Coturnix japonica: one gene and its partner. The protein of the gene in region 1 interacts with the protein of each later gene in a pairwise test. Links are inferred from orthologs where the notes say so. Each region holds a gene or a part of one and is shown on either strand. Other genes may lie near its edges. The genes, in order: ESR2 and NCOA6.

Evidence for each region.
Region 2: the proteins of ESR2 (region 1) and NCOA6 interact in a two-hybrid assay, tested with the Homo sapiens proteins (3 studies listed by BioGRID). The link is inferred for Coturnix japonica from reciprocal best matches to the Homo sapiens genes ESR2 and NCOA6.

What each region holds. Positions count from the first base shown.
Region 1 is NC_029520.1:48,211,323-48,215,140, forward strand, and holds part of ESR2 (estrogen receptor beta), read left to right. Parts: intron 1-1,144; exon of another isoform or gene 1,145-1,302; intron 1,303-2,484; 5' UTR 2,485-2,520; coding exon 2,521-2,954; intron 2,955-3,639; coding exon 3,640-3,723; intron 3,724-3,818.
Region 2 is NC_029535.1:424,758-428,575, reverse strand, and holds part of NCOA6 (nuclear receptor coactivator 6), read right to left. Parts: intron 2,672-3,818; exon of another isoform or gene 2,566-2,671; intron 1,177-2,565; 5' UTR 1,020-1,176; intron 933-1,019; 5' UTR 893-932; coding exon 658-892; intron 1-657. UniProt on the Homo sapiens protein: Nuclear receptor coactivator that directly binds nuclear receptors and stimulates the transcriptional activities in a hormone-dependent fashion. Coactivates expression in an agonist- and AF2-dependent manner.

The DNA of each region.
Region 1 (3,818 bases):
TGCAGAGAAGGAAGAAAAGTTGGGACAGGAGTTTGGTTCATGGAGTAGTTAATTCTAGTAGTGTTTATGATAGCAGGGCATCATACTGAAATGGGACAAACTTATGATTCTGTAGCAACTTCTTATTGCGATCCTCAGCTTAAATGTGGCAGTGATTCCTTCTGAGGTACTGATGTTAGCGGAGTTTGTCTTCTGTAGACTTGAATCTTAAGCTCTGGTTACCTGAACCTGCAGTTCTTCCTCAAGAAGTACAGCTCCACAGACCATCAGTTATTCTAGGGACTTTTCTGTGCAGTTCTGAATGTTTTCTGCAGCTTTGTTTTATTTCTGAGGCTTTGGGCTTTCTGTTCTGAATCTCCTGAGTATAAGGATATACGAAGAATGTGATTCCATGTACATCCATAACCTACCATGGCTAAGCATTTTCTGCCACTCAAGTTAATTATCTTAAGCCATTACTGTTGTTTAGTTGTTATACTGAAGTCTGATGAAGTGTAAGGGTTTGGGGTTACACTGCGCTGTGCACCCTTTGAAGGGGAGCAGTGCAGTCAGCTCTTGCTGGGCAGGGCTGACAACATTCAGGTGCTCATATGGAGTGTCTGTGCACACCTCTGAGATCCCAAGTGGTGCTTTGCTTTACCTACATGCATTTTGAATTCTACAGGCAAATTCATAGTGTTCACTATGAAAGCAACCACTGCTGAAAACAACCTTATTTTTCAGTTCCATCATTTGCTGCCTGAAAATTATTTGGGCTGTCCATGAAATGCAAGCAAGAGAACATGTGGGATTTTCAGTGCTTTTTGCGCTCTTAGGGGAAAATGTGAAGCATCTGGCAAGGGCACATAAGGCATGTAGACTGTATGAAAAATGAGGTCACATTCTCCTGCTTTGGCTGCATCAGAGTTCCAGTGCAACAACGGCTGGATGTAAACCACTGCTGAGATAATTCATTTTCCTGTTTCCCACAAAGGAATAAACAGCAGCTGGGTCTGAAGTGCCTAAGATGATTTGAATGAGTTCCTCGTTACTTACCCATATATCTTCACTTTCATCAGCAGAGTGCAAAGTGAGAAGAGCCCTAAACTATTTTATTCAGACAGATTTTCTCATGGTTTTTTTTTGATGGTGATTCTACCATCAGTCCTGTCTCTAGGTGGGAAAAATGTCAGTACACCAAGATGGCATACTAGAAATACCATCTAGCTGAGAATTTCTGGGACATGGAGGTAGCTGGTTCTTCAGGAAACGTACGTTTGGATCTTTACCATTTTATTTTATTGTTGTGTGAGGTGAAAAAAGGTAAGAATATTTAGCATCCATACTTTGGTTGCTTTTGGTATAGCAAAACTGTGGGTGACTTCTTTACTCCAGGGTTTTTCATGTCGATCTCTTATTGCCACCTGTAAAAGTAAAGTATGCTGGAGTATCGCTTCTGGGAAATGGAACTTGAATGAATTACAAGCAAAGCCCACAATGAAGAATGAAATTTAAATACTCTTAAATGCTGCTGTAAAACTGATGGTTCCAGGATGGGGTTTACATCTTAGAAGGTGTTTTGGTGATTTCTTTCTTCTTTTCCTTTTTTATTCTTTTTTTTCCCCTTTCATTTACCTTAAGTAATTTGGTATGCCTAGATCTGGCAGATGGTGTTTCTGTGGGTATATTAAGGTCCTGTGATTGCTGGTTCAGATGGAATGAAGGATGGAGAGTAGCAGTGAAGGCAGCTCAGTATGCCAGGAAAATATAGAACTTCCTGACCTTACGGATTTGCTTGAATTCCTCTTTGCCAGCTCAGAAATACCTGCACTTTGTGACATCTGCATTTCATAACATCTACTTTTATAATGGCTCTGTTCAGAGGTGCTGTATCCGAGTACTTTTCAGTGATAGAGTTCCTTACTGATGTCCATCTCATCTTTCTCCTCACTGGAGAGGGATGTGCAGCGGGGTTATGATTTTGAAAGGTAAAGTCTCTGTCTGTCTGTGTTCTAAACATCAGTTACACACTCATGTTGATGAAGGAAGGCTGATACTTCAATAGTGCACTTGCAGTGGGAGAAGGAGGTGGTGAAGATAATTGATTTCTCAGGACACTCATTCCTCAATTACTCGCCACTGACACAGAGCAGCTTTACCCTAGTTGCAGTGAATTGCTTTGCTTAGGATCCTGGCTGTCACGTGCATTTTTGTTTTCGGCTTCAATTTATACATTTTTTGTGTTTTAAATGAAGTTTGGATTCAACAAGTGTTGTCCCCTTTATTTTTAAGGAAGTTCTAGAGAATTTTCTGCTTCATAAAGGTAGCAAACTTGAATGTTGTCTATTTAAGTACGTTTGCTATGTAATCTGTTTTCACAGAATGTTTTCAGTGCTTTCTGTTTTGTGAATTCCTCCATTTCTTTTACAGAAAAGACTTAAGATAGAGCTTCCTTAGTTTCTAATTCATGGTTGTTTTTTTTTTCCCCCTACCTTAACATCTTAGAATGAATATTTAAACAACCTTCGGTCTTGAATCAAAATGTCCCTCTGTGCGTCTTCTCACAAGGACTTTTCTCAGTTGCTGCCTCTTCAGGATATTGGATGCAATAAAACAGAAATTAAAAACTCACCTGCTGGTATTGGCTCTCCAGTTCCCTACAGCTGTAATCAATCTGCATTGACAACAGAACACAGTCCAGTCTACATCCCTTCATCTTACGTGGAAAACAGGCATGAATATTCTGCAATGGCATTCTGTAGTCCTGCTATGATGAATTACAACATAGCCAGCAATTTTGGTGATTCAGAGAGTGCATCTGTGAGACAAACATCGAGCCCAAGCCTGTTATGGTCTGCTCCTGGCCACCTCTCCCCTCTGACACTGCACTGTCAGTCATCGCTTCTGTATGCAGAGCAGCCTAAGAGCCCGTGGTGTGAAGCGAGACCGCTGGAACCAGTGCTGCCCGTCACCAGGTGAGTACCACTCACTTCATTAGAACTTTCCTATCAGTCAATCACAGCTTCTTTAGTTCCTTTATGTCTTTTTGTTATTACTTCTTAAAACATTTTATTTTCAGTTTGTATTCATTAAGGCAATGTGAGCAGCAGATTCACAGGCTGAATTTCTCAGAACTGAATTTGCAAAAGCATTGTCCCATGCTGCACAGTGTTACGTGCCATGAGAAATGAGTGCATCATCAGCTGACAAAACAGTTCCATTCCTGTTCACAACAGCTTTCTGTGGATGAAGGCAAAGGGTGTTGCAGGGGCTAATCCTGTTTTACCCACTGTGTGTTTCTTCATATGGATGCCCTGTCCTTGGAGGTGTTCAAGACCAGGTTGGACGGGGCCCTGGGCAACCTGATCTAGTAAAGGTGTATGTTTGGTGGCCCTGCCAGGCAGGGGGGTTGGAACTACATGATCCTTGAGGTCCCTTCCAACCCGGGTCATTCTGTGATTCTGTGATATGGTTCCTTATTCAACTTCAGCCATTGATGATATGGAAAACAGCACATCTGGTAACAGCTGCGGTTCAAATATTCATTAATTTTTATTTTTGATATTACCCACATTCCTTCTGCAATGGATGGGCTTTATATATTGTTTGCCCAGCACTAAGGTATAAAATGTAAGCCTGATTCAGACTTGTGGATTGCAGGAATCTTCAGGATGGCCACTTGAGTAATCTGCCTTTGGGGTCAGAAGAGGCAGTTCTGAAGCACATATCTGCCTCAGGTACTAGGTATGTGGACTGGAACGGGCTATTTTAAATAGCACCAGCTTACAAAGGGGTTCCTTGAGCAGGTGAATGGGATTATCATCCAAACTCTTTCTGCT
Region 2 (3,818 bases), on another chromosome or scaffold:
ACAGCTATAGTTAATCATCACAAGTCCCTTTGCAAAGATGCTGAGACAGTGGACAGATGTTTTTTTTCCAAATCTAGATATGCTGATTAAAGACATTGCTGTTCCAATGGCCTGTGTTACTAGTGAACTAGGGAAGCCTGTCCACAGAGTGGGTACACAGGGTCATGTGAGAATGCTCCATTCTCCCCTCTTCAGAAAAAATCTGGTAGATGAGGTCAGTGCAGCAGCTAAGTGGCAATAATGACTTGAACAGGCCCAGTTATTTTGGAGTGAATCTACTCTCAACTGCAGTGGTTTAAATCGGATGGTTTTGATATTAAAAAGAACATCCTGTTTGGACAAGTTTGGTTTCACTTTCATACAGAAGAACAATATGTAATTGAGAGAAATGGAAGAGAAGAAAAAAAAAAAACAAGTAAAACACTGGAACAAAACTGGAATGAATGTGAATGCACTAATTAGATCAGTTTTAAACAAAGAAGTAACTGCAGAAACTTGTACTTAGTGCCCCCGAGAAGAACAGGACCCAGATGCACTAAGAACAAGCCAGTCAACCATCCAGTTAACTAGAAAATGGCAATATATTTCTTTTTACAAGCATTCTGATTATGTCATTAATTATTTTAAGGACAGCTGAAAAACAAGGAAGTAAATTACCCATGTGTAGAAGGCCAGGTACATTCTCCAATATAACACTCAGTTTCTGTTCAAAGTCTCTATCCCCTATATCTCCTTTAAAAGCTACAAAGATTGTGGAATCTTCAGGAGCAACCTCCTGTTTCAGTTCGTCTTCCTCCAGTCCTGAATCCAAATCCACCTCTAAGTCTTCCATAGCCGAGGAGTACAAGGATGCACATGTATCTCCCACGTTTGGTAGGTCGTCCAAAACCATTGTGTCCAACAAAGAGAGCCAGTCAGACGTTCAGAAGATACTTTGGAGGAAAAAAATAAATTACAATGTGTAAAGACACAACCAACTGCACTCAACAACGTGCAAAGAACACTGAGAAGAAACCTACCGGGTGACCCTGTGCTAGGGCCTGCGAGACAAACAGCGCGACTCCGAGCAGTGCGGCCATCGCAGCAGCCGAGCTGTTTGTCCACCAGAACAAACAGAAGTTGGTGGTTTCTTGACAGAATCCTTCCACATGTGAGTGGAGCAGTATTCCAGCTGACCTAAATGATAGAGAAAAAGGGAAGGGTAAATAAAATCAATTACTCTCATCTCCACATCATACAGAGGACAAACAGGAATCTACAACAACCCTGCAACGCTTGGCTGCCAGGAAACTGAGAGGCACTCAGCAGCACTTTAATTGCAGGGAGGCTGGGGGGGGAACCACCAAACATAATTGTAGGGATTGCAGATGCTTCATACAACAAAGCAGTAGGAAAGCCACAGCACCAGAAGATATCCAGCACTTAATGAGAATTTTACTCATCCAGAGAGCTCCTAAGCACACAATGCTTGTTTTGTGAAAGTTTAGGTGCTCTCAGCTGCTTACGCACATTACAACTTGAAACACACTGCCTCAATGCTAGCCAACAATTTCCCCATCTTCTAGTGGAATTAAATAAATCAAGTCATGTCTGATACTTCTCGCTCCAAGAAAACACAATAAGCTGCAATTACATTAGGATGTTACCCATGCAGAGGTGCAATCCAAGACAGAAGAGCAGCATTTATTGAGATTCACACTCCTCCACTTTGCCTGCAGCCATGACAGGGCAGCAGGACCCCACAAGTCAGCCAGACCCACACAGTGGTCTCACACCCAACACTCAGCAAATATTTCTTATGCAATTCCAAGCATCCACATCAAGAGTCAATACAGAAAGGGACCGGTTCCTGCCCACCACCGTGATTAACAAATCAAACCAACAGGTGATGCTGCCAAGACCTCGTAAGTCCCAAGCTGTTGGCATTCAGCATGGCCCAACAGAAGCACTCAGTTCAGGATGCTCCAATGGGATGCAGACCAGCTTCTTGGCAGAGGTTCAAGTTCCCAACACAAATTAAAACCACAAGTTGGAGATTAAAGGTGAACTGCGGATAGCAGCTGGGAAAAAAAAAAAAAAAAAAAAGCCTTTCTTCATACAGAAAATAACCACGTTAGAAAGGCGTACACAGGAACAGCCACCTAGCCCAGCACACTCCACCCTGCTGTGGTATCAGGCCTCTGCTCCGGAACACTGCTCACGTTTGGGATTGCAAACACAGGTGGTTTTGTAATCCATGTTCTTTTGCAGTCTGCACTGAAAGTAAAAATACTTCCCATGTATTTCCACAGTGCTGTCATACGATTACATTCTCTTTTTGTTCTCTAGACTCTTTCATCCTCAGCTCTGCAGTGAAATCACAGCTCTGAGCACTCAGCAGCTGCACTGAGTCAAACTCCAGCTCCACATCACGTGTCCAGGTAACAAGGATACAACTGATAACCATCTGCAGAAAAGTTGGTTTAATTGATTTTCACATGCAAAAGAATGGTGAGTGTCCTTGGCAGGGCTGGGCTGCTTCCCCTAACCACAGGTCATGCTACATACATAATTCATTACACATACTCTGACTTCTGGAAGGAAGGAGCTTGGAGCCCAACATCAGCAATAGCCTTAGGGACAACCACACCGGGGACTGAATGAGCGCCCTGTGAAAACCAAGCTTCATCTTCTGAAAATAACAAAACAAATACCTATAAAACAGGTATAACATTATCAGGAACAGAAATATTGGATCAATACACAAGGTTTTAAATGTTCAAAATACGTACAAATACTCAGAGGGGGATGTTCTACATTCGCTGAGAAGCATGAATATTTCCTACAGCCCCAAAGACGAAGGAAACGACCTTTCCTCTGTAAATAAATAACATTGTGTTTTTATTTTGAATGTTAGTGCCCAAAGTACCTGTGGCAGCTTTAGAGTCTCCTCTCAAACATGCAGTATGGCCTGCTCCTGTGCTCATGTAGGATTTATACCAACCACGACAGGAGGAAGTGATGATTTGTGAAATGTTCCTCTTTGGGCAGAACGCGGCCTGTCTTCCATCCCCAAACCAAATGAATCCCAGCTGCATCCCTCTTGCTAACAAATTCTGTAATCCCCTGGTTATAAGGTTGACTGCCATAAATCAGAAGCCAGCCCACAAGCACAATTAACAAGGATCTTCATTCAACACTCCTCCCTTAGCCTTTCCAGCCCCTATTCTCCTTCTCCTCCCCCCCCAAAAAAAGAATAAAACCAAAACCCTTCGGGTCTAAGCACACACAGTAAAGCCCCGGTCCTGCAGCGATGCTGGTAACTTCATGTAGCTGCCAGCAGGCCAGTACTGCAGCCCTCATGAGCAAGAGTCACACTGGAATCAATGTGCAGAACTGCAGAACAGCCTGAGCTGTGGCTGCCACAGCAGGCAGCCTGGGCCTACAGCAGGAGCCCACAGCACAGATCCAGTGCCACATGATGGGACAGTGCTTAGCAATCCTAGTGGGATCCCAGAAGAGGGGATCAGAGCAGATCAGAGCCAGCCTGCAGCTGCTAGCAGGGGCAGCTGAGTGCTGGGAAATGTTGGCACCAGCCCTGCCAGGTGGAAGCAGGACAAAATGAGCTGTGCCTCGATAGTCATGTACTGAGACAAGCTCAAATGATTCAAACTTATGGTTATACCCTCCTGTTAAGCAGAGCTTGAAGCCTTTATGTCTCTTTCTTCCTATCCCACTTTCACTGTGCAAGTCAGGTAAAGCACAGCAAGGCTTTGTCCAGTAAGTGGAAAGGGCAAGAGCAGTTCCTTCACAAGCATGGAAGAACCAGAAGGACGGAT